Linked DNA regions of Caenorhabditis elegans. The protein of the gene in region 2 interacts with the protein of the main gene of each other region in a pairwise test. Each region holds a gene or a part of one and is shown on either strand. Other genes may lie near its edges. The genes, in order: ehn-3, nhr-21, nfi-1 and lsy-2.

Region 1 (7,214 bases), on a different chromosome or scaffold from region 2:
TATGTTATTTATCAGTTATCTAAATAATTGATACATATTTGAAAATTCTTTGTTCGACAAGACTAAAAGCATTAAGTAGTTTTAATATTTGAAATCTTTGAATTATTTGAAATTATTTGAAATCATCTCAAAAAAAGAGAGAAAAAATTAATAAAAATGCACAGTATCAAGAATTTTATATATCTAGTTATTCACTATGTGATATATCACATGCTTTAACTTTCTTTCGTTATTATGTGTCAGCAGTCAGGTGCTCTGTGTTAAGAATCAACTAGAAAGTTTAGTTGTATCAATTAATTATGGAAAATTTTTTGAGTTTGAATTTTTTCTTTCAAGATATCCATATTATTATTGTAATTTTTGAAAAATAGTAGGGGATGCACAGATGCACTGAAAATTTGAAATTGCTCTTGAAAGGAGGGTTTCTCAAGTTCGTTGATTTTCTTTGAAAACATGGAAAAAAAGTGACACTCGCATAAACTTTTTAAAAATGTTACTCATTCAAAAAAACCTAAATACAAAATGTACAGTTTCAACAATTTGATATTTAGTGAAATTATTTGAAAATTGATCATTTTTAATCAAAATAAACTCACCTCTCTCTGACAACTGGTTCTTCGTTCCAAAAATATGTAAAAGTGACTTGAAATTGCTGACCTAACACGGCAAAAACGAAAAATAAATTAATTCTCATTTTAAGAAGAGAGTTTGAGATCCGGTGAAAACGGAACTTATTATTATTATTGAAATTCAATGAGTGAAACAGAAACAATTGAAAATAGGAGGAGCTACCCGGGAGCCCAAAATAAAGACAAGAAGAAGAAGACGTCTATGTTCTCTATATTTCGCACCTCAAGCACTGTATTTGGTAAGAGAAGCGCCGAAAGAGCGTGCGAGATGAAGAGACGCAGACACTCGAGATGTGCGAATTTGAGCACCCGAGTTGAGAGCATCGTTTGCACACTTGTGATCCTTCCTCTCGATTGCCTTATTTCGCCACTACCTCCTACTGTATGTGTACTATTATAATTGAACGAAAATGATGAACAAAGGGTTTGGAGACAATCGAATCGTGCTTAAGATCACTTTTTTCATGTCTCAGATGGGATATTAGCTTGAGAATTTTGAGAATTTTTTTGTTGATATTTTTATAAAAGAGGCAAAATTGTGAATAATATTTCAAGAGCAAAACTCTATAAATACATCAAACTTTAGAAAACTGTAAAATACTTTTTTCTTAATTTGTTTTATTATTAATGTTGGAGATGTAATAAAGTTTTCAATAAATCTCGGAAATTCAAAGTGTTATCACTCCTAGAGATGACTTTTTTAATTGGACACTTTGTGAAAATTATCTTCAGAGGAGCATTTTATACTAGAAAAATTGATCTCGCCGTTTTTTTTTAATTAGGCTTTTAAAATGCGAAAATCTTCATTGTCCTAAAATCAGGAGTAATGTTTTAAAATCTGTTGGTAGAAATTTGAAATTTCTTAATCTAAAACTCTTGGCATTTCCTCCTTAAAACTGCTCTCCTGAAGATAAAAATAATCAGCATAACTTTTGCAAAATTCGCATATCAATAATTTTTAGTAAATCTTTTGAAGTTTTCAGAAATAAAATCAACTACCATAATTGAGAAAATCATATTTCTAACTTTCAAATATATAAAACAATTAACAGAAACAAATGTAACAATTAATTCACACAAGAACAGAGTTAAGTATTTTAAAACATCCCAACAGAAGATGAGGAACATTATTGATAAGATTGATGCTGGTACTTAACAATAAATTGAACCATGCTATAACTTTGAAAAAGAATCGACATTTTTATATTTTAGAAGTTATGATTGGCGTAAACGAGATGAGCAGCAAAATCATATTTTCCATCGCATAGGCTTCCACAAAGTGAGCATTTGAACGGAATATCATCTGAGTGGAGTCCACTGTGCAAATACCACATCACTTTGTCATCGAATCTGATTTTACAGTAATCGCAGTACTGAAATAATTGTTTTTTTACAAAATACGTTTTTTCCCAGAGGTACATACCCAGCTCTCTGGACCATCCAACTCTTCTTCTTCGGGAGTTTCGATTTCCGTAGATGGTGTTGGAGACAACTCTTTTGCGGATTTTACAGATCTAGAGCACTGTGGCAATGGGGCTTGTGAAACAGTGCTATGAAGCGGCTGAAAATATTATGTTACCAGTTGAAAATTCAATTTCAAATTTCTTACAAAGAGTGGTGCGATTTCAGTTTTGAAAAAGTCAAAGATTCTATCAAAATCATCTGGATTCTTGATGGGGTTCAAGATTGAAGTAGTGGATTTTGGAAGAATTGGAGCAGGTTTGAAAGAGAAGAATTTCTGAAAACTAAGGAGATTTATATATATCTACCAAAATCCAATCTATACATAGTGCACGTCTGACTTTAGTAGAGATTTTGTAGAAATAGCGAAAAAGTATTTTGAAATTCAATTCAATTATGTGGAGAAGTTCGAGTATAGTGAATTCTATTTTAGATCAATTTTTCTAATGTTTTGAAGCTTTCAAGTATTTTCGATTGCAAGACCCAACGGTTTTCAAAATTTTACTTTTAGTCTCAAATGAAAAGTTTAGTCAACATTCGGCAAGAATCGGATCAAACGTAGGCTAAACTTAACACATCACAGCTATAACCTACTCGTAAGCAAGTAGCTGATGTAAAATCCAAATAAAAACAGTGTGTGCTTCAATTCTTCCACAGAAAAAAGTACTCACCGTATGATCCAGGTGTGCAGTATGAAAATGAAGCAGAAGACGATGGGAACTGTTGAACCATTTGATGCAAGATTTACATTTAGCTGGAGACGATCCTCTTATGATATGCTCCGAATCTACATGAAACTGCAAACTCGTGAAGCTGTTGAACTTTGAATTGCACGCTGTGATGGGACATTCAAAGGTATTTCCTTTCTTGATATGGGTCATCATGTGCTCTTTCATCTGAGTTGGATTAAAAGTTGAAGAGATTGTTTTCTAATCTGTTTAATGTTTCAAGAAATAATGCTTAATGCTTTATACTACTAGAAAGCTCGATCTTTCTCAAAGTATATTTGAAAATACAACTTTTCTTGCATAACTGAAACTTTCATATAAAAAACTGATGGTCAGATCTGGAAAAAGTAAACGACTTTTAACAATCTTAACTTTGTTTTCAATAAAAATATTTAAAACAAAGCTTTTAAATTTTCTCTAGCTAACAGTAAATTAAAGCCAACGTATCAGTACACATCCACAGAAAAATAATTCCCCTACATCATTTGGCATGCTGGGTGCTAATTCTCTTTTAATTTTTTAGTGCTTTGGCATTAAACATTTATTTTTGAACAGATTCGCAAATCACAGATACCAGTAATCGTAAATTGCATTCAGTGATTATTAAAAACATCATGAAACACATAATTAAAATTTTTGTGTCAATTTCTGAAAATCAATAACACAGATTGTTTCATTCTGCTTTAAATCTGATGTACGAGTGATAAATTGAGTCAACTTTTAGGAAGCTTTTTTCTAGCATTTTTTTTAACGTTTCGACAAAAAAATCGAGTTATTTGTAAGCGTTTGGAATAATTTCAAGTAATTAACTTTCGTAAAGTAGGTTACTTAGTGAATTTTTTTGGTCACTAGAGATAAAGCTTGTACTAAAACGACTAAACTTTATAAAGAAACTTCAATAAAATATCCTCTATACAAATTTATCGGAAAACCACAAGAACTAACCCGATCATTCCGAAAAAAAGGTCTTCTGCAGAACTGACATTCAAACTTCTTTTTTCCACTGTGCATCACCTTATGACGATTCAAGTTTGTCTGAAAAAATATACATGGAAATCAAAATTTTTCTACGATTTTAGTAACTTGTTTTTTGTTGCTTTTCGATTTGAACAATGTTGTAAATTGATAATTAAAAAGAAATTTTCTAAAGATTTGAGTCTTGCGTCTCAGTTTTTCAAGAGCCAAACAAGAAAGTAGTTTACGAAACCATAAGTAACCTGGTAGGCACTTTAGTTTCTACCTATAACCTTTAGTACTCTCCACTCACCTTATTGGAAAACTTCTGGTGACAAATATCGCATTTTTCCATTTTGTAATTTGGAAGCTGGGAGGAATAAAGTCAGAGAGTGTCAGAAAGTGACTATAGGATTTTCTATTCCAAACTTTGGGTGGAGCACAAATTGTTTATAACTTCTCGGGTACTGTCGAAGGTCATTTGGGGGAAATATACAATCCTAGGTGTCAGATATCTTAACAAGTCGGAGAAGAAGCACATCTTCCGACATAACAGATAAGCCGGCTGCCGCTACTTGCCAGATGGTTGGTGACAAACTGGGGTGATATATAGTCAGAGGTCACTTTCATGATTTGGAAGAGAAGGTAGCAAATATAGTGGACAAATTGATATTAAATTACAATTGGGGTCAATTTTAAGAACAGTTACAGTACTTTGGACTGTACGAGTAAAAAAATCCTTTTTTTTTTTTAGAATTAAATTTCCTGTTTCATAGAAAACATTTGTTTGACTGATTTTAAATGTTTCATTCGGTTTTTATTTATCTCTGTAAAGTCTTTTCATTATTGTTAGAATTCAGAATTTTTACAGATTCATGAATTCACTAAAATTTTATGAGTTTCAGGATTTGTTAGTTTCAACAATAGAATCCCCCATCTCCTGCAAAACCGCAAATCACGTGGCGAAAAAAAGCGTTTTGTTCATAGCGTAATGCTCTTCCTTCTTCCTAATACATTAACCATGGCACAAATCGAATAAATTAGCATAATGTGTCCAGGAAGAAGACGACATTGGAAGACGTTTCTGGAGAAAAAGGGAAAAAAGGAAATCAAGTTTTTTCTCTTTTACCTTGGATGTCTGTAATATAGGATTACATGCCGGAAGAAGGTGAAGAGTGCAAAAATATTAGTTTTTAATGGAAAATGCTTTCGATTTTAATGTCAGGAATCGAAGATTCTCCGTGATAAACTTCTGGAAATAATATTTATATTTTTAGTTATCGGCTTTTTGGTGTATGAGATCTGATTTATTCAGTATCCAAAGATAGCTGGAGAGGTCTTACTCAAGAAAATGTTTTCATTTATTTTCAAAAAAATATCACTGTTTCAACAAACCCTTAAAATCAAGCTATAAAAGGCAGAAATGTTTTCAATCGAGATAAATAGGCTCTGATATTTTTTCAGATCTGAAAAATAACTATGAGTTTGATGGAAAGAATGAATGCCATTTTTCAAATTGAACACGTTTCAAATAGTCCATAAAACAGTTAACAATTAATTAATTTTAATCGGGATCATGCTCGACCTCTAAACGTATTATTTCCAAAATTATCCGGTGAAGATTTAGATAAAATATTTAAAAATCCGTCACATTTTTTTCGCATTTTCCGAAAATTTCACAGTTTCAACATAGCTAGAAATTAAATGTATTTTAAATTCAAACTGATTGCAACGGAATTTTAAATGTGAAATATTCAAATGTTTTTAACGTCCAACAAAACCACTGTTTCCTCTGTTTACAGTTTCTAAAGTAGTCCAAAAACCGAAAAATGAAAAAGTTTTGATTTTATTCTCTACTTATTTTTTTGCTATTTTTCATCTTGTACCTTCTACATCATCACTAATTCTGTCTAATGCTCTTGTTGCTCTTCTTCTTCCTCTGCTCATGTTGTTACTTTTTCCTAATTCCCAGCTTTTTTCTCTCTGCTTACCAGTCTAAATAATAAAAATGAGAAATCATAAATACTAAGTTGAAACAAGATACTGCAAAAGTGATATGAAATTAGTTTTAGTGATGTAAATCTTTAACTGTTTCAATATCCTTGTAACTACAGTATACTATAGTATTGATAGTTTTGATAGACTTCCTTAACGCTAGGGCATATTTATGTTTAGTGGTTCTTCAAACAAAAAAAACGTCGCGGGTAGAATATTGACTTTCTTCTCCAAATCTTTCAAATATTTTTAAAATTTGACTTTAACGATTTGAGCCGCCTATTTCACAGCAGCTTTACCAACAATCCGCTCACAATTATGAAAATAAAAATGAAAAAAGGATTACCCCTTAATTCAAATTTTTCCCGGGGTCTATAAATGTTGCACAAAGTTGTTGGAGCGGGACCTCTTGGGAACCATAGGCTCCGCTCAAAAAGTGCCGTGCGCTAGATAGTGTTCTTCATGACGTCACTGGAACAAATATAATTTTTTAATAAATTTTCGTTGAGTGAAATTGTAGAAATTTGCTTGAGTTTTTCAAAAAAAAAAACGACATGAGAATCGATTTTCATGAATCCGTGTTTAATTTTTTTTCGGTTTCATTTTTTTCTTAAAATGCCAAGCAGCACAGCATTAATGGATATGCTTTGAAATGTTTTAAATTAAGAATAGGTATTTTATTCCCTTAAACGCTAAATTAGTTCGCAACAAGTGTACAAAACCACTACTGTAATCACACTGTTCTTAAAAATGTAAAAACTATTTTTCATTAAATGGATTTAGCGGAAAATATACAGTTAACTCCACGGCATTGCAGAAATATGTTTAAAAAAAAGTACAAAAAAAGTCGAAAAAATCCATCGAAAAAAAGATAAGTGGAAGAAAGGCGGAGCCTGTTTTTTTGAATTTTTTCAAATTTTTAAAAGAAATTTCAGACGAAAGTTCTACAATTCATGACACTGTATAAAAAAATTAGCCTCAAAATTGTCTGGGCACCCATTAATACTATAACCAAAATTTGAAAATTGTTATTTTCATCGGATGCGTAAATTGAATTTCCGTTCTTCTTTCTCTTTCTCATCATTTTACATCCGAATACCCATTTAAAATTCGAGAAATCCCGCGCCGCCGACAAAAAACTTTGTTCCATTTCCTCATTCTTCCTGTACAGAGATTGGTGTTGTTTTTTGCCATCTGCACCCCCATTTTGTGTCTGTCTCACTCTTTTTGTGCTTCTTCTTTTCTGAAATAATTGTATAATTTCTCCTTCTCTCCTAAATCGCATTTTCCCATTCTCGCCTCTCCCTTACTTCTTTGCTGACAAGGCTCAATGTTCTCTTTTTTGTCGTATTTTTCTAGATTAGAAGGACCTTCTTTTTGTTTTGTCTGTCTATTATCTTTCATAATGACCAGAAATTGAAAAGAACAAAATATTTCAATTGAAATT
Region 2 (7,245 bases):
ACAGAAGAGCGAGAGAGCAACATTTTTCGGGTACAAAGTACGGGGTGTCTCGGAATACACGATTAGCCATAATTTATTGACAGGGCAGAAAAGTCAACGAACGTGAATAGGTTTTTCGTAAGTAGTTCATATAGAGTTTTAAAATTTACAAAGAGGCGAACACCCGTCGAAAAATTCAGAGGAAAATTAATATATTTTCTAGACAAAAATTGTCTGATTTTTATAGTTTTTCATGCCGAGCTTCATCTCCTCCTTCTTATTTAATCCCACTTTATAATCTTCAAAAGCTATACCACCGCTATATAATAACTACACGACACATCGAAATTGTTAGTGACAACATGTGATATAGTCATAAGGATTAGCCATTTTTCAATAGACACAAATCCTATGATGCACTTGAATACAAAAATCAGAGGCAATGTACTATTTAGGAAAAGCTGTGTCTACACAGATGCTCACACTTCCACGTTTTACTTCGTTTTTGTAAATTTTTTTTTGAAAATGGTCATATAATAGAGTTGATGATATTGAGCGTAATCTGAATGATCTAGAAGAAATGACAGTAAGAAAAGAAGAAGCGGTTCGATGAACCGTTTGAAGGCATCTCTTATACGGTCCTTTGAGCGGAGAACGCTCATTATTCTGGAGGCGGAGGCGTGAAGTTGTCACATGGGGCGGATTTGTAAACGGTATGATAGTCACTCAGAGAATGGTTAAAAAGATTCGCGTGTGCGCGCGAGGGAAAAATCGAGAGAACATCCATTTATATCGATGAGCGAATCAATGTGATGAGTACTTTGGCAGAAAAATCATTCAAGAAGGTGATGGTTTGATGAAGGGTTCAAAAACTAACTCAAGTGATTGGATCACAAATGGGATCTAAATAAAACAATTAATCATGTCATGAACAACATAGAGAACATTCACCTAGAAAATTCTCAAAAACAAATAAAATTTCTAGTAGTGTGTCACGCCCAGCTAAGACGTACCTCCCGTACCTTCCAGGGCGTTCACCTGGCAAAAGACAGACAGGTGAGGAAAGTCTGGAGCATATAATAGCATGTATTTATAAAATTAGAATTAAATTGAAATGTAAGGAATTAAAACAAAAATGAATGAATAAATTGGCATAAACCAGAACAAATTTTAAACCTAATGAGCTGCTCAGTATAAAATTGGTAGTGGCAGATTCATCAGACTTCCAACAAAAAACATTGACGTCTGAATGAAAAGTGCACCGCAAAAAAATGTTCCACGTGACATCTGCAGGCAAAGGCACTCCCCCAGACACATCAGGACAGAAGATTTTAATCTTACGAAAATTGGAATTCTGAACTGACATGCTGTATTTTGGTTGAAAATTAGTGGTCTGATAAAAGTGATTAGAAGCATATTATAAAATCGAAAGGAATAAGGTAATTTATCGAAACTTTTGAAATACACACTATTGCGGAAATGACTATTTCTAAATTCAACGTTGGCCGAAGTCATTTGGGGAATCCCTTTTTTCTTTGAATGTCTAGACTCTTCATAAAATTCAATTCAACATGTGACATCATAAACAAGCAAAGATCTCTTCCATTTTTTACAAACGAATTGTTCTCAATATTTTTGTCATAAAAATGCGTATTTTGACTGCATACAGTTGATCTCTTCGACCTCTCTATCACAAAAATATAAAAAATCTGTGCGATCTTTAATCATCTCCATTTCTGATCTGTCGCGACGCCTTCTCCCACTACCATCTGTTTTGTTAATCACGATCTGACACGTGGTTACTTTAAGTGCATAGTTTGGAAAAAACAAATGTTTCAAGAAAATAGGAACCAATTTGTTGTAAATTCTCATCAGAATAGAATAAAATATAAAGCCATTAACCCTGACTTCTAGATTTCTTCCTCCGAAAATGTTCAAAAAATCACGTAGCAGGGACACATCGTATATTATCGTGTAGAGCGCCAATCCCCGAAAACCACAACATTCTGATCAAAATTAAAGATCAAAGCCTTTTTCTTCTTATTTATAGCAATGAGTTTTGGTTTCAACACGTTCAAATCCCCCTTTGAGCATTGAACAAATCAAAACGGAACTACATGATTTACGTCATTAAGCACGACTATTATTAAATTTTATAATAATAACATACATCAATCCAAGAACAAAAATTTCACGGCATGTAAAAAATGTCTTGCAAAAAGGCAAAGAAAGAAAGAGCAGTGAGAGTTTAGAGAAAAAGAGTCACAAAAATTTTGTGACCATTGAAGTTAACAAAAGATTTCAAACCAGAAGGTGTTCAAACGAATAATAATGATTGGAAAATTGTGTTTTTTTTTTGAAAAAAAAACTATTCACAGACGAGGAAAATTAAATAATAATGAGATTATTCAGAGAAAGAACTAAAGGACATGCTGGAAGATGATATCAAAAGTTCGTTTTCCACCAGTGCAAATGAAAAAGTATAAAATGACTTTCAAAAGTTTTAAAACTGCAGTGGTCCGTATCAAGTTTCATTTGACACTTACTAGTGAAGCTTAAGCTTTATTTCAAAATTTTTGAAGTTTGTGCTGTGGACTTTTTTTAAAACATGGAATTGAAATTTAGAAAATTTTGTGAATTTATAAATTATAACAATTACCTCTTTGACGGTGCATTCTGAGAGTAGTAGTTGTGCTCTTCAAAAATATAGCGATCTCTGATATAGTATGATCTATGGATTAGCCGAGAAGCAATCAGCACGAATAGAGAAATGTACAAAAAATGATTCGGCTGCTAATAGTGCAAGAACTGTTCACACTTTTAAAGAGGAGTCTCGCTCATTTTTTCCTACTGTCCATTCATATTGTGATCTGTTCCGAGCAGCATAAACTACAGTCAACTCTTCCATTTCTCATTGCGACGAACTTTGTTCCGATTGTTTGTTCCCATTAATTTTGCGCTCGCGCGGAGGAGTCTAGGAAAAAGAGAAATAAACAGAGGAAGAATAGGGGGAACAACGAACAATTTTTACTTTTTTGTTTTTAATTTAATCCTATCACTTGATAGGGAACCCTTCATTGCTGGTAAAAATAATTATAGTCGAGGAATACTTGCAAATCCTGCAATTTAATTATAGCTATCAAAATTTTTACTAATGTGAAACCTTTTGATCTTTTGATATCTCGCAAGTGATTATAGAAATATAAGGTTGAAATCAGTGCTTATAATCCGATTAAGATGATATTAATCATTTAAAATTTAGAAATATGTTTTGCTTACAAAAATCAAAATTGTCATAACAGGAAAAAAAAAATACATGAATCAAAAACTGTAAATTTATTTAAAGGCGAAACTGCATAAATATGGATTTCAAAAGATATTGTTTTAAAATATTCAAAATATAGTTTTTTCTTACATTTTGGCAGTTTGAATTTGGCAGATTATTATAACGTAGAAAGACAAGATATCAGAAAAAAATTCTTCGAAATTCTAGTTAATTTCTTTATTCTTTCATGTTTTCCATCTTCGTCATAAACTCCTCTAGGCTTTTGATTAGAATTTTTATTTCCTCCCTGGTCTCATATGTGTTTTTCTTCTAGTTCGTTGAGGCAGACAGGAATGCGTGTTATTTCAATGATCTTGTCATATAAGACCAGAAAAACAAGAGTACAGAAAACAGAAATAAGGATAGTAATTCGATGCAGAATATGTTAATTAGCAAAACTAAATTACCAATGAACAAAATGAACGCAAAACTATTATCACAAAAAAGAGAAAAAGGATGAAATAAAAGAATGATATGAAAACAGAGGACATGAAATGAAATGAAGTAATTCATGACATCATGAAAATTAGATAGGTTTGAAAGTCGAGATGACCCGTGGAGTTTCTATGGGCATAACTGCCCAAGTGGCAGACCCATTTCCACACAATTGTACTTTAAAGAATAGAAAAGAGAGGACGTGAGAGTATGGAGCAATGGGAGGTGAGCAACGAAACAACCGGCTGTGCGGAACAAAAAGTGAAAATGGGAGGGAAGGTGTGAAGAGCCACTGAATGAAAGATGTGTTCGGTTGGTAGGATCATTGAACAGATTATCAAGGAAAAAAGAAGGAAGTAGTTACTTGTATGCTTATGGCTGGTGCCAATTTTTACCGGCTTATCTGCGATAAAAGAAACAAAAGAAAAATTGTTGGTTTAATTTGAACTTTATTAAAGGCTACATTGGTAAAAACTTAATTAGGAAAAATACGAATAAAATATAAATTTAGTAAGCACCAGGATATGTACGCAACATTAAAGTTTGGTATTCAATCCTTGAGAAGAACAAAACATTTTAAGTTGGAATGTTTATTATTCACAGCCACAACTCATGTTTTCTATCAATTGAATACAATTGAATTTCTATAAGTCAATGTTAGCTAAAGTATGTTTAAAAGATTATAAAGTTATGGATATAGTCTGGTCAAGATGTTATATGATAGAGAAATCAACAAGAAGAGGAAAACATAAGAAGATAGGAAAAGGAAGCAATGAACAATTCGCAGGAGAAAAGGGAATCACTTACTTGATCTAGGGCCCATGATTTGTGACGATTTGATTCTGTGAAGAGGACACCTGTAAGACGAAACAGTTGGATATCACGGGAGGAGTAATTAATGAGAGAAAAGGCAATAAAAACATTATCAACAAACATACAAACTACACGTGTTTGAATTATTGAAGTATGATGGAAGAAAGAGGAAAATGAAAGCGAAAATGAATATTTTGGTTCTCAATTAACGAACACTACAACCTACAAAATTGATACACACGGAAACAACTAGATTGTATGATATCAAATATCCGGTTTGATTTCAAAGTTCAAATGTTTAAAAGGTAACCTTTTGGGTAGATAAACTCAAGCTTTAAATTTGCCATATGAGGTTGGTTCTGAAGACTATAACATCTTTGAGACAGAAACATACTTTACTTTCATTGTGGTTCTAGCCTCTAACAATAAGTACCTACATTTTTACAGTTTCCTTAAAATAATAATTTGGCTGCAAAAAATATTACTTGAGAGAAGAACAAAAATGAGATAACCGATAAATCCGTAGTCAATTCTGAACTACGCATATCAAAAACGTTTTGAAATCGGTATAAAATATCTAATCACCATTTTTTAGTTAAAATTGCGTACTAGAAAAGTCTGAAATATTTAATTTTAACATCAGTATCACTTTTTCTAACTACACACTACACAAATGCCGAAATTATTTGTGGTCATGGGGGAAGCAAAATATGCACAAATTTGAAATGTCGCATTAACTTTTTGAACTAACCGATAAGAAAACTACCTCAACTGATCAACAAAAACAAAGATATAAATACAGGCTTTTCATAATAATAGTTCTACGCAAGTACCAAATACAAAACCTGGTTGCATCTATGTAAAAAACAAAAAAAAATCATAATTTTAGGTGGCAAATCCATGAATGATATAACCTTTTGTTATTAAAAGAAATACAACATACTGAGTAGTTTCAAAAATTATTAAAAAGTCAAATTAAGGGAGAACTCATGAAAAATTAATTTTTAAGCTGTAAAAACGAAAGCCCATTAGGGATGACAATACAGAGACGAGAGCCCAAATTCTAAACCAACTGCAAAAGGCGACTTATTACTTTAACTCGGGTTAAATTTAGTTATGTAAATCTTATTATATTGAAAACTATTATGTTTCGTGACCCATGACCAACAACATTTTTCCATAATTTCTTTCTTCTCGCTAAACTGGGTATATCTCCGAGATTAATCTAAAAGAAAGTGCATATTTTAGGTCAACTCATCAGAAAGTCATCAGAAAGTCAAATCAGAACTACATATGTTCGTAGTGAACTTTTCTGCTTAATCTGAAACTTGACAACCATACCAAATAGGTGTTAAAGTAAAAGTAGGAAGCATGAAGATAAGTACGGCAGTATTCACACGGTACACACACCTGTCCTACAAGGTATACGGGAACCGAATCGTGCAAACACGTACATGGAGATGAAGATGAGAGACAGAGAAACCCGTAATGAATAGTGTACTGGAATGTAAAAGACGCAGACATTAAAGGGACGACTATTGAAACACGCGCTCGAAATGTTCTTTGCTCGCTGGTGGCGGACGGCGGGTGTGGAAAAAACGCGACTGGAGACACAAATTGGAACATTATTTTATCATTTTTCTTACGCACTCTGAATGAAGACCGCCTTTTTTGGGGACAGTCAGATGACTTTTTTGACACGTCATGAAGATTATCAGGGGCCAATTGGCTTAGGACGGAACAACAGCTAATTATTACATCAGTTCAAGGACTCTAAGCTAACATGTCAATGTCACGTGGTTGTTATCTTTTGCACCGGGATTTTTTTTTGATTTCTCGTCCGATGGTTTGGTTTGATGAACTCGTCGTTTTAATTGTTGACCTTTAAAATATAAGGACAATGTGATCTTTGGAAAAAAGGGAATACTCTCACACTTCTCGAGACTCGCTGCGTCTGGAAGCCCTCAAGTCAATTTTCAACTTCCTCTTATTTAGAAAAAGAAGTCGTCTCCAAAAATTACTCAACTCCAGCTCAAGTTGAAGTAGAATATCGAGAAAAAAATGAAACGTGAGAAGAAGAAAAAAGGAAAAAGGAAAAAACAATTTTCATGGCTCTCGCTCTTTCCCCATAAATGTGTGGAAATCAATTATGCATGTAGTAGCAATAGATGATTGAACTATCCTGTCTTGTTAGTTGGAACAAGAAAAACAACGTTTTAGACCAAAAAATCAACCCGTGCATGATCTTTGAATAAGTATTGCAAAGATAAAAGAAGGTGTCATATAACGTTAAAATACTTAGATTTGGTTTTGGAGGAAAATCTGGAAAATCTGAAAACATGCTCTACTTTTCTGAGCTTTTTTTGACTAATTGTAAGTAGAATGTAAAAAGACAATAATTCCACAAGATCACCTTCAATGTAAACTACTTTGAAATTAAGAACTCAAGATGGACTAATATTGAGGATTATCACATTTTCGTTAGTGATAAACCAAATTCGGTAATTCTCGACTAATAACAAATAACAAGATTATGCAAATCTAGGGGGCACAAATCACGGTTTTCAGGGAACAAGTATAGGGCTTATAAACTGAGAAATCTCAGAGGAGTTTAGTTTTCTCTTTTCAGAACACAATATGCTATAAAGTTAGATTTTTTAAATTATTTTAAGTTGCTACTATTTGAAAGAAAA
Region 3 (8,793 bases), 200 kb from region 2:
CAGCAGACAGCTGCTGGCTCGGCGTTAACAGCGGCTCCGTATCCTCCATATCCAGCGGTGTTGGCACCACCACCGGTAGAGGCTCCGGATCCATAGTTTCCACCTCCGTTTCCAGATCCACCTCCTCCAGCGGAAGTCTCTGGGATCCATTGTCCGAAGAGCCAGGCTCTCTTCATACGATGTCCCATTCCCTTTCCAGCTTGAAGAGCTGTCATCTCGAGCCACATGTCACGAGAACGAGCCTATAGTAAGAAAGAAATAAAGTAGAAAATATAGAAGGAGAAATTGAAAAAAAGAAACTAATGAAAAAAGAATGAAATGAATTTACCTTGCAGTAATCGGTTTCGACCATAAGATGAGATTGGAACGACTGAACATAATTATAGAGCATTGGAAGTGTTACAACAGATGCAATTACAGCAGCAGTGGATACAACAACGGCAACAAAAGCGATGCGACGCATCTGCCGTTGCTCTTCTGTCTCTTTAACGTCCATATCTGCTTGATTGGCCGATCGGATCTTCTGCTCGTTCTCCTTCTTCTCCTTATGTAGGCGCCCCCCAAGAACTGGATAACTTGGGCGCCAAGTCCCGCCTTTCTGTGTCTTTTTGAATGAGAGAGACCGTTGTTGCGGCGCAGAGGGCCTCCGTATACAAGGACGATAACCGATTCAACCTAGGAAGAATGAGAGAAAGATACATCGAGATCCGTGTGTGTACACCTGCCATCAAATAAAGAGGTGTGAGGGACGAGTAATACTTTCATGAAAAGTTTAAAAGTTGCAATTTGCAAGTTATTCCAGAGTTCCATGAAAATCCAATCTCGATCAGAACAAGACGGTATCTGAAAAACTGAGCTTTCAAGCTGCTGATAATATGTGTTAAAATTTCTAATTGTGTAAACTTCTGAATGTCTCGAAACGACACATTTTTGTGAAATGCAATAATGCTAGTAACTTAAATTCCTCTAAAGAAATTTCAAGCGATTTTTATAGTCTTTATCCTGATTTGTTAAAATTCATACGCATAGGCTTTTGTATTTTTTTCGTGTCGAGACCGGGTACAGTAATTTTTGCCAAAATACAGTACATGGTCTCGACACGACTGAAACTTTGTAGTTACCGTATCCAGATGTTTTTCTTTCAAAAAACTTTAGTTTGCTCGTTACCAAAATTTAAATCAGAAAAACACCAAAAATTCCTAGAATAATATTAAGAAAACGCCAAAAAATTTTGTTTTGCCAATGTTTTGCCGTTGTTACGGTAGCTGCAAAGTTTCAATCGTTCCAAGACCTGGTAGTGTTTGTACAATTGCTAAATTTTGTAATAATATCTGTAAAAAAGATACCCAACTCTTCGAACTTACTGGAATCTTTTCCATCAATACATCTTCTTTTTTGTCTATCCAGTCTCTATCATTCATCTAATTGGATAAGTATGTCACTTGATTAACTGGTAAGCTGTTGTTATCATCTTCGTTTGTTTCCAGGAAGGAGACTGATAAACAAGTTTCACCCGATAAACCTATTTTCTTTTCTTCAGCTACTAACTAACTATATCATTTTTCTTTATTGATGATATGATATTCCAATTTCTTTTGAATCTATGTTGTGCTTCACGACTTGATAAAAATTCAAGATTCATTAAAATACGTTTTAAAAATTAAATAATCTGAACTACCCACACAAGAAATGCAAACATGAGGTTCAAATACGCAAAAAAAACATAAAAGGAAAACACTGGGAAACTGGAAGTGGTGATTACAATTGTGCATAGCTACGACGTTTTTTCAAAGTTTTTCAGATTTACAAGATAAAGAGGTGACGGTGAAGAAAAGAAAAGGGAAAATGTGTGGCCCCGTAAACAATTGATTTTTTTGTGGATTTTGGTTTTCAAAAGAGGTTCGGAAAAATAGATTATGACGTCACAGACGGAGAAAATGTTTTGAAGATTGAAGAAAAATGAAAATAATAAAAATAACAACTAGTTTGAATAATACTAAAGAAGGACTAGGTTTGATAACTCTAATTTTTCAATTGGTAACACGAAAGGGATAAATAAAACGAATAAAAAGATTAACAGGAATATCAAAATCATTTTTTCTCATTACGAAGAGCATGTGAAAAGTCAGTTGGCAGCTTTGGAGCATTCGGATCTTGTGGAGTATTTGAGACCGGTGCTTGATTTGCAGCTCCTAGAGATGAATTTGATGATGACGGGGAGCATGCTGGTGGAGCTCCAACGCTAACACGAATCTGGCGATGAATTACACAATTAAAAGCTTACATCTTTCGATTAATTATTTTCGTAAGGTGTTTTTCAGAATAATTATAAAAGCTGCTGATTATAAATGTTTATAAAATATCAACTTACTTGATGAAGAGGTGACATTGCATTTTGAGTTTGCTGGACGGCCAGTGCAATATTTTGAGGAACGGCCAATCCCATTGCTACACCCAACGAATTCGATCCGCTGAAGAAACTTTTTTTGGTTAGACAAGACATTGATTTTAGATTGAAATTTGAAATTAATAAAATTTTCAAGCTTTTGGCCAATTTAAAAAAAAGTATATATTTCTGGAAAGATTTTTTTAAAATTACATTTTATTTTGATACATTATTTTCAGAAAAAAAACAATATGGTTCAACTTACTTGCTTGCAGAACTATCCGGACGATGAATCGAATTACCAGGAACTAATCCACTCACAGCTCCCATTGATAATGCCGAAAAAGCATTTCCACTACTAAGCAATGGAGATCGAGAATTGGTATCAATAAGATGTTGAATGAAGCTATCGTCTGTAAAAAAAAGCAATGGGATGATAGTTCAATGTTCATAAAATCATACTTAAAGTTGTTCCGTCATTACTGTGTGCAAGTTGTCCAAGTACATTAATCAATGAATCATCTTCAAGCATTCGAAATGAAGGAGTTATACGAGGAGTTGTGATGGGTGATGGAATGATTGAATTACATCCTGACATAATTGGTTTCACTGCAACTGGAGCAATTAATTTCACTGATGAATCAACTGGTTTCGATGATAAGATTGGTGGTTGGATTTGTGAATTACAGTAGCTCGTGCTCGGTTGATTATGTTGCAGATGTTTCTCTTCGATCTTTTGGAAAATTTTGCTGAAAAGAAAAAATTGTTTAACGATGATCGGGATACGATGCCAAACCTGAAGCTTGTTGTATCTCCGCGTGCTGTTGTGAATTTTGTTGGGCTTGCCATGTATCCACTACTTTCTCTGCTGATTAGATTAGAAACAGCAGTGTGAGTCGGTGAAATATCGCTTCCTAAAGCTCCTTCATCTGAAACAAAAAAAATAAATTCAACTTTTACTAAACATATATTCTTCCAAAACTACGATACCAGGTCTCATCACGACAAATATTTATGGAATACACAAATGTTTGCGCCTTTAAAGTGTACTGTAATTTCGAACGTTTGTTTCGTAGATTTTCCATAGACCGGGTACCATATTTTTTTAGCTTTTTAATATAAAAAAGTTTCGTGTTTGAAAAATATTAGTAATTTTCGCGAGAATGAGGGTCACGTATACAAAAACAACTAACTTTTATTCATTTCCTGATTGCAATTCAAAAATTCAAATGAATTGCTCGTATGCGGATGCATTCTTTTTCTGCCAACTGGACTTTCTCGCATCGATGGTGTCGTTCGAAGTGAGCTCAATGCATTCACTATATGTTGAGCTGAATTAATATGATTTTATTCATTAAAATTATCGTGCTTACCATGAATCACATGCTCCCGATTTCTTTCATCAACAACAACGACTCCAACATCGCCATGATTTCCAGTATTCACTGTCATTCGACAAACGGGTTTTGCTGTTGAACGGAATGCACCCGGACTCCTCGCAGAATCTTGACTTTGAAAATCGGGAAGCGGTCTCACTTGCCGACTCGTTCCGGGAGCTCCTTGATTTTGTTGTGTACGAGAGAATTGGCCTGGTGCTGCCCATATGGAGCTTCCGAGTACCAATTTTTCCGTTCCACTTTCCACTATCCGCCGAACTTCGTCGTTAGTGCTGAAATAACTGTGTAAATATTTATATTAATTATTTTTTCAAGTTCTACCTGGAATTAGGAGAATCATGCGATGATATATCCCGACTTCGTTTCTCTGAAGGTCCATCGTTGGAATCCTCCGACATATCCATTTGTTGAGAATCAGATGTTCCCGCGATGGGATAAGGAAAACAATTTTGAATCGGAGGAGGTGGTAGACATAGAACAGATCTTTTTGCATTGAAAAAGTTGTTGTCGACTGCGGTTTTGTTAACCATATACGTGTTTCCCGCAGAAAGAGACTGTTGGGCAAGAGTAGCACGACCACCTGAAAATTTATTTTAAAGTTTGGAATTCTTATTGGAAATTTGCAATTTCGAGCCAATAATATGCAAAAAGGTGTGCTCAAGGAGTACTGTAATTTCAAACTCTTGTTTCTGGGGAATTTCGATTGAAATTGAATATAAATCTATGAAAAATAGAGGGAGAGGGAATTTCTAAGCAACGAGAGTTTGAAATTTTGGCACAAAAATCGCGTTTGAACAGTTTCACAAAATTTTAAAGCCCTTGACAATTTAACATATTTATAAATTAATCAAAACGATTTATCTGCGTCGCAAAATGGATATATTTTTATTTTGAATAAAATTGGATTTTTTCGCTGACAGAATGTCATGGTGAATTCTCAATAGCTTTCAATTTATTCATTGCTTATAGAGAGTTTTAGAATAATTTAATCTTACCAAAATAAGTATGGCAAGCTTTCTGTGGATCATAAGTGATAATGATTGTTTCCGCATTTCGTTCGGAATTCGTTTCCCAGACACGAGTATGAGTAGAACTTGTGCCAAGAACTGCATGAGGAGCTACAATTGTCTGTTCACCGGGCTCTTGCTTTACCATCACTGTATCAGAAAGTTCATCATTTCTCGGATAGGTCAATGTAATTTTAGTGTCAACGTCTTTCAGATAGTTTGCCATAAAAACGTCAAGACCGCGAACACTAATCGCCATATGAAAAGGATTTATGCACAGAGGGTGGACACATGCCTCGGATCGTTCGAGACGCTCGCCGTCGGTGCTCTCGAGAGGAATTCCCTGAAAAATATTAAATTTATTTGAAGTATTAGGCAATAGGATTTTTAAAAACTCACTTTAAATAAAATAATAGTAACCAGATCAAGCCTCCAAACTTTGTCAGCTTGGCGTAAGCAATCAATTCGCCGCATTTTCCCTTTCTGATCAGCAACTGATATAATACACTTGTTCGGCTCACTTCCATTGATCTAAAAAATTGGTTTCGCCTTATATTAAATCAATTATAAATATTGAAATACTTACAGCCGAAATAAACGCTTCTTTATCGTCATTTTGAATATCTTTTTTTATTTTTCCCAAAAGTCTGGAAGCCCATTTCACTTTTAATTCATCTCTATCATTCTGAAATGCAAACAATTTTCTTTATGATTTTTGTTCATATTTATTCGTATTTTACTTGTAATTCTGCTAATTTCGCGTTTTCTTCACTCGCACACATCTTCTTATCAAATTCTTTGAAGTGCCGTCGTTTTGCTGCCTGAAAACAGGGGAATGAAATTGAAAAATTAAAAATTATATTCAATAATTCCTACCTGCAGATGAAACCAATTATAGGCACTTGCTCTGACAAAAGGTAGAAGTTGTTCGACAAATGGTCCCATATCTTCCTGTGAGTAAGGACTGAAGCATTTGATACCATTGGCTTTCGGACTCACGGCTTCTGGAGAATTGAATTGATTACTCCAATCAGAAGATGGTGGAGGCATTGTCTGCTGTGCCTGTGAGTCTTGAGGTGCTTCTGATGTTGAAGCTGTTGCACCAGTGGTCGTCGAACCGCTGGCGGAGCTGACATCGATCTGAAAAGTATTTTGAGTTTATTTCTTTGTTTGATATACTTATACGAGTTTTTTTTTTGAAATTTCAAATTAATAATCAAGTTTTCTTTTTTACCTGAGATTCCATTCGTATAATTTAAAATCAAAAGTATCTACAAAAAGAGTTTATATTTTCATATATAATACTGCATATAGGAAGAGATAGCCTTTTGATGATAGTTGGTTCATAGCAACAGCAAAAATACTCCACAAATTTAAAGAGGCGCAGATAAGGAAACAAGCGAAAAGATTTTGAATGAATAGAATCACACCGCCCGTCGAGCGAATACTCGTCAAATTAATCGATATGAAGACCGGCATGTGTGTGCGAGGTAATTATTTGCAGCGAACCTGCTGCAAAATGTTTTACAACAAATAAATTACCTTGAGATGCGGCTCCATTTTATTCAAAAAATCTCCCAGAGCTGGAAAAAAATCGCAATGCTGCTGCGATCGGTGTCCTGGCTTGTGCTCAGATAATCTGCATTCTGAAACACTTAAAAATCGATATCACAAATTGACAAGCGTTAAAGAAGAAAAAAGCGGCACCGAGCGCAAAATATCATGAGAAAATAAATGATTGAAGAAGTAAAATATTTTTCGAGATTAGTTTTCTGTCGAAATAATAATAAACACTGGCAACAATTTGAATTAAATGAATTCTCGTTTAATCAATTTTATTGAGCTTATAGAAACACTTCTTCTGATTCAAATATATTTTTGGAAACTTTATAAATTTTTCTGCACATTCATCTGCTCATATTTTGCTCTTTCATAGCCAATATTAAAAATACAGGTGGTCTGGGATGCGCTGCGAATCAAACTACGGTAAATTAACTATAGAGCAAAAATGCGCAGAGGGTCGTACAAATACTAGTCCAGCGGCCATATTTCAAACGGAATTTTCCGCGCGAAATCTTGATTAACTGACAGATGACAATTAATTCTTAAAAATTAAAATGAAGATTATCGAATTTTTGAAATTTATTTATTAATTATCAACAAATAAAAAATTTAACGAAAAATCTCAAGCGATCTGTTCAGAAAAAGAGAAAACTCATAAACAAAAAAACAAAGAAGAAAGTATCGATTAAATAAAACGGCAGGTCTCGCAACGATATTGTTAACTATTGCAAAATGGTGCGCGTCTTTAAAAAAGAGTACTGTAGTCTCAAACCTCCGTTGTTGCGGAATATTTATCGGTTTTTCATAGTTTTTCTCAAGGCTTGTGCTTAAAGAAATGTTGTTTCATTGTTATAAAATTTTTAGCAAATCGTGAGAAAAACTATTAAAAATCGATAAAAATCGCACATCAGTTTAACGTTCGAAATAGCTGAAAGTTTCTTGCGAACATGTGAAAAAACAGAAATTTCGTTTTGTAAAAAAACATTTTGCAACATACAGAAAAAGATAACCTCGAAATTTATTTTATTCATTTGTTTGCTCCCTCGTTCCATAAAAAACAAAAATCATGTGACATCAGTTCTATAGCATGCTAAATACAATGCTCAAGTCGTCAGTTCAACAGTTCAAATCAAACAAGTATTAGAGTTTAATAATAACACGTGGTGTCAGGATCCCCCGTTACGCTTTGATCTACAGAAAATGCGGGATTTTTCCTAAAAAATGTGACGTCAGCACGTTCTTAACTATGAGAAATTAGTTGAAAAGGCTGCGCCTAAATTCCTGCCGTTCTCGTAGATCTTCACATGGGACATTCTGACACCATGTCTAATAACATAAAAATAACTAGAATCAAAAAGCAGATTCTTCAAATCTTGACAATGAATTAAACTTGGATGCAAGACTTGCATCTGATTGATGAACTGGATTCTTAACTGTTCTTCTTGGAGCAGGAGAAGGTTCCGGTGTATACTCTTCAACTTGTGCTTCTTCTAGAATTGCCATTCTCTTTGGTTTTGGTGGCCTATTTCTATAGGCTACAGGGTATGCTGGTGAGGTGCCACCAATATTTGAAATTTCACTTTCAGTCCCATCGAATGTCTCATCCTAAACGAAATTCTATAACTACAAGCCATACGTCACAATTTTTTGAATTGGATCTGCTCATTAAAATTTGTGATTTTTTTTTAATGCAAAAAAAAGTTATTCAACAAACAGATAAAATTGATTACAAAAATGTTTTCTGATGTAAGATTCTCCAAAAACTTAACATTTATTGACAAATAGTATTATTCTGTTTTCTACACTATTTTCTGAATAACTCAGCTCAAATTGTTTAATTGCCTTATTGACACCACCTGAACAGATTGCTCAATGGATTCATGCTGCATTTTGAGAACTTGAAAATACGTCCGTCGAGCCACAATGAATGCCAACATTTTTAGACAAATCAGGATGACACATACAGCTGAGATAATTGCACCGTATTTGATTGCTGTAGTGGGATATCAGGATCTTTTGAGCTTCAATTTGATGTTCTTACCTCTGGCTGTTTCAGGATGGGTTTCATTTGGATTCGCGTAGTTTGAGTCTTTTATGTTATGGGAAGTACGAATTCTGCTTGTTCTGAAAGTTCAATACTTATTAGTATTATATCTCTAATTGAAAGAGATACGAAGGGCCTCCCAAAGACTCTAACGACCACATTACTCCGCTAGCGACCGCATTTAGAGCCGAATAAAGCCAAATGAACAACCAAAACATTGTAACCAACTGAAATAGCTAGGAAATTAATAATAAACTATTGCAAAATATTATTACTTGATATGATAACATTGGATACGAAAAAATAGGTGATTGCTTCGATAGACACAAGTTGTATGTGATTATGGCAAATAACATAAAAAATAGAAATGCAAAGTTGAGGAATACAGGATCTGAA
Region 4 (8,299 bases), on a different chromosome or scaffold from region 2:
GACATGTATAGTTTTCATAATGTAACTTGTAAAAGACTTGTTTTCTTCTTTATTGCTTATATTTTCCAAAATAATTTTTTTGCGTAATTTAAGTACTTGTATTTATAATTCTTTGCTAAAAAAATAAATATGTATTATGAAAAACTGCAGAACTGTGAAAATTTAGAAACTATAATTTTTCTGAGGAAATTTATACCTTGGAAATAATATTTCAAACAATGAAATGTATTCTGGCTTTCAAAGCAAACTAAAATGAATAAAAAAAATTATGTAAGCCTTGGAAATCTGAATAATATATTTGAAATATTTTAATATGAAAATTGTAAAAAAGTGTGCATAGATTAGTAACAGTTTTTTTCTGAACATTGCTTTAAAAAATTGATATTAAAGGCTATAAAAATTTAATGGAGAAGTACCGGTTTGGACGATTTTGAACATATAGACCCAAAATGTGCTTAAATAAACGAATTTTTTAATGAAACGACTCAAAATTGTTTCAAAAGTTTTTTATGGCGGTTCAAAATTTCCAAAAATACCTTAATCAACAAAACAACATAAGGTAAATTACCAAAATTTGCAAAAAAAATGACAATAATTAAAACAAATCTACTTTGAATCACTGCGGCACGGAAAAGTAAAAAAAAAGTTGGATAATTTTTTTCGAAATTTTGAACCGTCATATAAAATTTTGTAGATTAAAAAAAAATTTAATTACAAAATTCGATCATTTAAGCACATATTCAATTTATACGTTAAAAGGCGTCCAAACCGTTACTCATCCCTAACTATGTTTATCGAACCGACTTCCCTAGGTTGAGAGATTTAGTCTCATCGTTCCACACGCACCAGGTAACTGAAAATAACATGCACTTTTAGGAAGCTAGAGCCAGGATGTCTTAATCCTTTTCGTTTTCCCCATTTGTCTCGATCCAATATAACGAAGCGGTTAAGTTCTCAAAACTTCAAAAATCTGTCGAATGAAGCAAGTGTGAGCTGCTTTTTTTCAAATAAAAGTATTGCCCTACAAATGTTAGAGGGCTCAGAACGGAAACTAGCTGGCTGTTCAGCAGATGTTCGTCAAGATGGCACCCTTCATGGTAAAAGTATCTTTCACGTTTTTTTTTCTTCGCCGAGTATCTGAGTAGAGGGAGTTTCTCAACTTGTGCTCGTTTCTCTTAATCTAATTTCCCAGAACAACTTGGCGATTGTACTTCTTTTCTGAGACGTCGAACAAGTTTTCACACTCTTGTTAGAACACTTCACTTTGAAGGAATCTTACTATAAACTTTAGGTATCCTTAAAATTTTGATACTAATTGTAAAGACTAATTTTTCGAGTTTCTGGCTTAATATATTATTTTTGAAAAAAAAACGTTTTGTTTTATTTTAGTTCACCAAAACTCCCCTTCTCAAGATTTTTCAATTAGAATTGTGAAACTTATGAACATAAACTGAACAAGACACAAATTTCTCCTCAGGTTTAAAAAAACATTTGGAAAAAATTTGTTATTTTTGGTAAATTAATTTATATAACACTACTTATTGGTATTTTTATAAATAGTATAAATGCTGATAGGTTTCACAAAATGTCAATCTTTATTTGTTTTGTTGTGTTTGTTAACAAACTTGCTTTGTAGTCAATAAATTATCAATAAATATATAAATCTTATTAAATTTAATCTAAAGCTTTAAAATTCAAGAGATCTCTAACTTTTTAATTTTGTATTAAACTACTATTAACCGTTTTCACACTTTTTTTTCGAAATTAATATACACTTATTTTATTTATTTTTCAATTTCATTAACCCGAAAACATTTAATTTTATAATTCAGAATGATGAATTTACACCATCCGCAGCACCAGTCCAATTTCCATGAACAACACACGCCGTTTGCTGCTCCGATTCCAAATGGACACCACAACAACCACGTCTGCCTCCACAACAACAACAACAACAACAACTCCCAATATACTTGGAGTTACACGGTGAGCCAGCGTGGATGCGTGCGAGCAGCAGGCAAGATGCACATCTGCTCTTCGTCTGGGGCTTACGGCGTTGCACGAATATCGAATAGTGTTCATAGCGAATAGATGCGATTTTCTGAGTCCTGATCGATTTTCATTCAAATTTCCAATTTCAAATTTCAAGGTTTTATTTTTTCATTTAACTTTTTTCAATTTGCCAAAATCGTTGAAGTCTTTTGCTGGGTTTTGTTCAGTTCCAAAAGCAGCTGTGACAATATTATACATGTCTTTTATGTTAGGAAAAATATTATTGATCATGTATAATTTGATTGACTTTTACTATTCCAAGCACTAACTTCTATTTATAATTAAATCTTAATTTTACTTTCAATAAAACATTTCTGATGCAAATTATTTTTAAGACTTGCCATAGCCCAAAAATTAGCAACCAATTTCTCAATTCTCGGCCACCTGAGATTATGAAAACGCATCTGCTTATTTTTGCACCTGTTTTGTGTTTTCGACCAAACCATGACTAAAACTAAAATAATTTTTTTCATAAAATTGTATTTTATTTAGAAAAAAAAGACAATTTTAAAAATTCCGAAAAATTGCAATGAAAATGTTTTAATTTGCACTTTATAATTTTGAAAAAAAAATTGTAAAAAATGACGATTATTACGAAATAATATAAAAATACAGTTTAATTTTTTATATCTAATTTTCTAAACACTCGCAATACACAAAAAACTCATTATTTTCTAAATTCTACACTTGCTGAGTTATCAGAAACGATGTAAAAACCACGAACAGCAAGCGACGGTGGTGACCTCTGTCCTCTCGCTCACTATCCTTGTTGTTTGTTGCGCGCCTGCGTCTCGTTTTCTCGTTGCGCTGCGGCCGCGTCGCGTCCCCTCCGAGTGGTCGCATTTCTTACCGTATCGTTCTCATACCATAACCCTTTCTGCACTTGGCGGCAAGGTGAATAGTTTGAATTCGACGCTTCTTTCGCAATATCTAGCAGTCTCGAGCTGTTTTTAAGCTGTCTGAGGCAAATTTTGTCATGCTAACCAGAAGAAATGCTAAGCAGGTAACTAGATATCATTTCAAAAAAAATTTCTAAAATTTTTTGAAATCTCTTGAAACCCATGTTTTCATTTTTATTTCGCTTCTGTACTTTAACCTTTCCTTTTATAAACTCCTTTCAAATTTCAATTTATCGAATCTTTTATAAATTCCCTACTTTTTTAGACGTTCTCTACTTTCAGAGTCAACGGAATTCTGCGGATCAGTCCCTCTCTGAATTCAACAGTTCCAGTATGACTCACGGGTCGAATCAGTCAGTTTATCACCACAATCAACACATGGATGACTCCGAAATGATGATGGATGAGCAGGATTATTCTCAGGTACTCAAAAAAATTCTGAAACCATTTCAGGGGCATCATAATCAATTTCAGTATCAAATGGGGTTTCCTGAAGAAGATGAGATGGTGGAAGGAATGATGACCCCTCGAGCTGTGCACCAGTGTAATGTTTGCAACAAAATATTTGTTTCCTATAAAGGTAATTTTTTGAAAAATACGGTAGCTTTGTCTAACTCTGATTTTGTTTTCAGGTCTCCAGCAGCATGCAGTGATACACACAGATCAGAAGCCTTTCCGATGTGATATTTGTTCAAAATCATTTAGGTTTAAGTCGAACTTGTTTGAGCATCGTTCAGTCCATACCGGCTTCACTCCTCACGCCTGTCCATATTGTGGAAAAACTTGTCGGTTAGTGGTTTTTTTAAACAACATTCGCTGTGCTCTTTCAAATGTACAGTAATAAAAATGTGGCGGGTTGCGAAAACGACCGTTTCCCCTTAATTCTCATTCTCTCACAGTCGACTCTCCTCTGCTAATGCGCAGTACGGTGTGTACAGTGTACGGGCCGAGAAACGGTAGAGAAAAAGAGACGGACGAGAGACACCGTAATGCCATAGGCGACACTGTAGAACAATCGATAAAACGAAGAGAAATAGTGTTAGAATGGTGAAAAAGGCGTAGATAAGATGCATGCCGTACTCATTTCAAAACGGCACTCGTGACAGTAATCTAAATGTTGCGGGTAGAAAACACAAAAATATAATCAACAAAAATTATTTAGGCGATACGAGAAATAACAAACAAATTTTTTAAATTTTTTCAGACTGAAAGGCAACCTCAAGAAGCATCTTCGCACACACGTCACGACGAAGGAAGAGCTGGAAGCTGCCTGGAGGCCGTTTGCCAGGTTTGATCTTAACAAAAACGGAACGCCAGTATTGGCAAAATCTCGGTTCAGCAACCGTCGGCCGCCTGCTGACATCCCTGACGACGCCATCGTACTTCGTGGAGCCGGAGGACCGTACTACACGCCGCCGCCTCGTCCGAAGAAGAAGTAAGCAGACATCCAGCATGCACAATTAAAATGTGAGATTACCGAATGTTTTTTTTCAGGAAGCTTGGACTCGGAGAACCAGAGCACTGGGTGGACAAGTTGAGAAGAGGAGATCTTCTGCCACAAGTTGAGCTTGAGGACAAGATCAGACGTCTCGAAGACACTATCTTCAACAACATGTCTCTTGAGCGTTGGGGCAACCTTTTCGAGATTGCAAAGTCCATTGCATTCGAGACGTGAGTTTATTTATCCTTGAACTGAAAAGAAATCGGAGTGGAAAATGCCGTTTGAGCACATGAATTCTCAGAATTACGGTACATATTATATACATACCTGCTCTCCGTGCGTTTGAGAAAGATTTGACATCAATTCAAATTTTTTGCAACAGTTTCGCTACGAAATTTCGTCAAATTTTGATTGAATTATTATCTTAAAAGAGAGCGTACTTTATAATTTGTTTTAAAATGGCTGGAAGATTGTTGAAAGCATAGAAAGCATCAAAAAGTGAATGTAGGACTGAAAGTGAGTATAAGTATAATATCTGAAAAGCGCTCGGTGTGCGGCAAATTTGCCGAATTTGCCGAATTCATCGAATTCCGTAAATTTCAAAAATGTAGACTTGCCGAATCTGCCGAGCCCGGCAAATACTGAAATTTGCCGCACACATGAAACAATTTTTATAAAAATTTTGTACAAAACTAATGGTTTTGAACAGAAACCTAATGAAAGTAAACATAACATCGTGTTTCTTTTATTTTTTATTGAAGAAATCCACACGCGCATTAGGCAAAATTCGAACAAAAACCAGTAAACGTAGTTTATTTTTTAAATCAATTTTGGCCCTCTTTGAGCTCGAAAAATATTGCGATTTACTGAGTATGACAACCATGGCAAATTTGCCGAATTTGCCGCACACCCATGGTGCGATTCATTTCCTAATATATGCCTGGGTTTGTATACTTATTGAATTTTTTTGAACCAACTGAGTTGTAAGCTCCCAAAATCGAGCAGTGCATTACTAATAGAACTAATAGAACTATTATAATAGAAGAGAACACATTACACAGTTTAAATTAAAATTTTCATTAAACCTACCTAATTTCAGCCATGATTGTCCAGTGTGCAAGTCTCAATTCATGACCAGAATGGATTGTGTCAGCCATCACACACTCGAACACGAAAATCATCGGGAGGGTCTTGAATTTTTCTGCGAAGTGAGTTCTATAACGTTGTAATTTGAGTGGTTTTCTGTCTGTGGGATGATTGAAAATTTGTTATTATTGTTGGATTTACGATACAATATATATTTTTTCAGAAATGCTATAGACCATTTGCTGACGAGGCCAGCTACAATCAGCACATGAGCTACCACACGCGAGTTAGCAGTTTGATTGAAACTGGAGAAATTGTTGTACGTTTACAAAAGTTAATATTTGAACAAATAACTAAAGCTCACTTTTTTTTCAGCCTCAGCCAGCAGATCCGGAAATTTTGGTACCAACGAATGACGAGTTTCAAATGCTGTTTGGCGCAAACTTTGGCCAGCAGATGATGGAACCACAGTTGATTTGAAATTGATTATTATTATTGTTGCTTAGATAGAGTAATTCAGCTTGCGCACTTACCCATTTTTGACGCCTTCGATGACATTTCTTTCAACTTCTCTTATTCACCTTTTTCAAAACGGGGTACTTTTTTCTTCTTGTTTTTTTGGTTCTTTTCTTACCTCGGGGATTAGTATTTTTTGAAGATTTCCTACCCATTGACAGACAGACTTGCTCTTTCAATCATTTTTTTTTCCAAAATTGTAAGCATGCCGTTTATCATTGTTGGCATTGATCTACACCAGCGATATCTTGCTCCTTATTTCCATTTGTAATCCGTTGTTTTTTATTATTATAACCTAATGTATAACCTATTGAGGAGTTTGTATAGTCGTTGTAGTAGTCTTTGTTTGTTTTACCTTTTTTTCCCGTTGCCTGATTTCGTCTATTTTTATATATTCTTCTCTTTTGAGCCGATTGTATAGGTGTTCGATTAATATGAAGTGTCATAATTCAATTTATGGAGTGAATAATAAAATTTTGATACGTTTGAAACAAAATGGAATGAATAGCCTGGTATCCAGAATATGCAAATGCAAAAACTTGTTGAAGCGGTAGCAAGGATCAGATAATACAAATGAAAGTGGTTTGAAGTGAAGATTGGGAAGGAGTAGGACAACTTCCGGAACATACCGATCAGAGTTTTAGATAACACATGTTGTATATAAGACGGTAGTGGGGTACAACATTCATCAACCAAGTTTTTCTCCATTGTTTGTTTCGAGCAATGAGTTACAAAACTATGGAGTCGTCTTCGTCGACTGTCTCATTTGCAGTCATTCTTTCTGGAAGTGCTTTCTTGATTATGGTAACTGCTACTCCTGTCCTTTTCTATACTATGGGAGACATGACTGCTCAACTGGAAACTGCAAAAACTGGTTTTGAAGAGACTTCGAATGTGCTCTGGAAGGAGCTTGTTACGAATGAAAGCCACCGCAGAGTTGCAAGACAAACATGTAAGTGCAGATGTTAACGTTATCTGAAAATATTTGACAAATGAAAATTTAGACAAGGAAGGAGGAGCTGCTGGTGAGGGATCTCCTGCCGCTACAGCACCCGAAGCCAGCCCTGTGAAAATTGACGACTCTTGCCCAGCAGGACCAAAGGGTGAATCAGGATCAGCCGGAGAGCCAGGAACCGACGGAACCGATGGAACTCCAGGAAAAGATGGAGCTGATGGAAGCAATGAGCAGACTGCAAGCCAAGCTGGAGATCTTTGCACTGCTTGCCCAGCAGGACCACCAGGTGTTGCTGGATACAAAGGAAAACGTGGACCACGTGGTGAGAAGGGAGATAAAGGAGCTCCAGGAAACGCAGGCCGCGATGGTGCACCAGGAGATGATGGACCAGAAGGAGACCATGGGCATCCAGGACCAATGGGACCAGCAGGAGAGAAAGGAACCAGTGGAGCTGACGGAAAAGGATTTGCTAAAGGAGCACCAGGACCAAAAGGACCGACTGGAATGGATGGTCTTGCAGGAGACGAGGGTCTTCCAGGAGAGCGTGGAGAGGATGGTTCAGCTGGAGCACAGGGAGAGACTGGACCACAAGGACCACAAGGAGAGAAGGGACCAGATGGATTCCCAGGTCTTCCAGGATCCGCCGGAGCTTCTGGAGAAGATGCTGCCTATTGCCCATGCCCATCAAGAAAAGGAGACATCGCTGGAGGAGGAGGTGGCGGATACGCTGCAGCCCCAGGAACTGAATTTGAAGGATCCCCAGTTGTGAGTTTTACTGCAATTCTTGGATTTCAATAAAATAAAAGTACTTTCAGGAATCCGATCCAGCTAAGCTCTCTGCCGATATTCCAGCTCCATCGCCGATTTCCGATGTCTCTGCTGAAGGAGCGGGCGCCCCAGTTAGCGATGCTTCTGGCGAAGGGCCAGCTGATTCCGCAACTGAAGGAGAAGGTGCTCCAGCTGGAGGAGCTCCAAAGGGAGATACCACATATCCAACAAAGAACCGTGCCAGATTTACCGCCCGTCAACGTGCTGTTTCCCGCATTCGCAGAACTTTCTAATTGTCTCTTTCTGATTTTGGTTACAAACATCAAATGTTTCAAATAAATAATTCAGCATTTCAAATTGTTTATTTAATAAAAAAAACACAAATTTAAACTATATCAAATAATATGAACGGGCTCCATATTCAAACAAAGTTTTGGAATAAACAAATTAGATTTTTCTGATTTATCACAGATGTTGTTCGACCGAGCTTTTGTATTGGAATTGTAATCTTTTTTGGCATGTGAGCTTGGAACGTAATTACAAACTCCATTTCTATGCAAGGTTGTATTGGTTTTCAATGAG

Evidence for each region.
Region 1: the proteins of nhr-21 (region 2) and ehn-3 interact in a two-hybrid assay, tested with the Caenorhabditis elegans proteins (one large-scale study listed by BioGRID).
Region 3: the proteins of nhr-21 (region 2) and nfi-1 interact in a two-hybrid assay, tested with the Caenorhabditis elegans proteins (one large-scale study listed by BioGRID).
Region 4: the proteins of nhr-21 (region 2) and lsy-2 interact in a two-hybrid assay, tested with the Caenorhabditis elegans proteins (one large-scale study listed by BioGRID).

Annotation. Positions count from the first base shown.
Region 1 is NC_003282.8:5,415,069-5,422,282, forward strand, and holds ehn-3 (Zinc finger protein ehn-3), read right to left. Parts: upstream 4,155-7,214; 5' UTR 4,128-4,154; coding exon 4,086-4,127; intron 3,854-4,085; coding exon 3,764-3,853; intron 3,395-3,763; exon of another isoform or gene 3,374-3,394; intron 3,101-3,373; exon of another isoform or gene 3,080-3,100; intron 2,987-3,079; coding exon 2,762-2,986; intron 2,419-2,761; exon of another isoform or gene 2,398-2,418; intron 2,368-2,397; coding exon 2,239-2,367; intron 2,191-2,238; coding exon 2,053-2,190; intron 2,003-2,052; coding exon 1,838-2,002; 3' UTR 1,631-1,837; downstream 1-1,630. Other genes in the region: spp-7 (Saposin B-type domain-containing protein), read right to left, coding at 597-694. UniProt on the Caenorhabditis elegans protein: Together with the zinc finger protein ztf-16, plays a role in gonadogenesis, specifically in somatic gonad precursor cell development. This is possibly by regulating tra-1 gene expression.
Region 2 is NC_003280.10:7,336,580-7,343,824, reverse strand, and holds the start of nhr-21 (NR LBD domain-containing protein), read right to left. Parts: upstream 4,597-7,245; 5' UTR 4,563-4,596; coding exon 4,547-4,562; intron 1-4,546.
Region 3 is NC_003280.10:7,535,837-7,544,629, reverse strand, and holds nfi-1 (Nuclear factor I family protein), read right to left. Parts: upstream 6,351-8,793; coding exon 6,333-6,350; intron 5,931-6,332; coding exon 5,667-5,930; intron 5,612-5,666; coding exon 5,531-5,611; intron 5,476-5,530; coding exon 5,377-5,475; intron 5,322-5,376; coding exon 5,190-5,321; intron 5,134-5,189; coding exon 4,779-5,133; intron 4,614-4,778; exon of another isoform or gene 4,593-4,613; intron 4,364-4,592; coding exon 4,105-4,363; intron 4,056-4,104; coding exon 3,760-4,055; intron 3,718-3,759; coding exon 3,580-3,717; intron 3,316-3,579; coding exon 3,183-3,315; intron 3,136-3,182; coding exon 2,849-3,135; intron 2,800-2,848; coding exon 2,652-2,799; intron 2,472-2,651; coding exon 2,372-2,471; intron 2,254-2,371; coding exon 2,092-2,253; downstream 1-2,091. Other genes in the region: rol-8 (Cuticle collagen 6), read right to left, coding at 1-242, 329-496; ZK1290.13 (MARVEL domain-containing protein), read right to left, coding at 7,704-7,958, 8,210-8,346, 8,395-8,477, 8,527-8,624, 8,673-8,788. UniProt on the Caenorhabditis elegans protein: Probable transcription factor which recognizes and binds the palindromic sequence 5'-TTGGCANNNTGCCAA-3' present in promoters. Plays a role in locomotion, pharyngeal pumping, egg-laying, and life span.
Region 4 is NC_003284.9:2,086,772-2,095,070, forward strand, and holds lsy-2 (Zinc finger protein lsy-2), read left to right. Parts: upstream 1-2,932; 5' UTR 2,933-3,028; coding exon 3,029-3,055; intron 3,056-3,233; coding exon 3,234-3,374; intron 3,375-3,425; coding exon 3,426-3,531; intron 3,532-3,583; coding exon 3,584-3,740; intron 3,741-4,155; coding exon 4,156-4,239; intron 4,240-4,290; coding exon 4,291-4,386; intron 4,387-4,445; coding exon 4,446-4,622; intron 4,623-5,491; coding exon 5,492-5,600; intron 5,601-5,701; coding exon 5,702-5,797; intron 5,798-5,853; coding exon 5,854-5,958; 3' UTR 5,959-6,482; downstream 6,483-8,299. Other genes in the region: col-164 (Nematode cuticle collagen N-terminal domain-containing protein), read left to right, coding at 6,718-6,946, 6,999-7,714, 7,765-8,010. UniProt on the Caenorhabditis elegans protein: Involved in transcriptional regulation. Required to specify left-right asymmetry of the ASE gustatory neurons, probably acting upstream of microRNA lsy-6.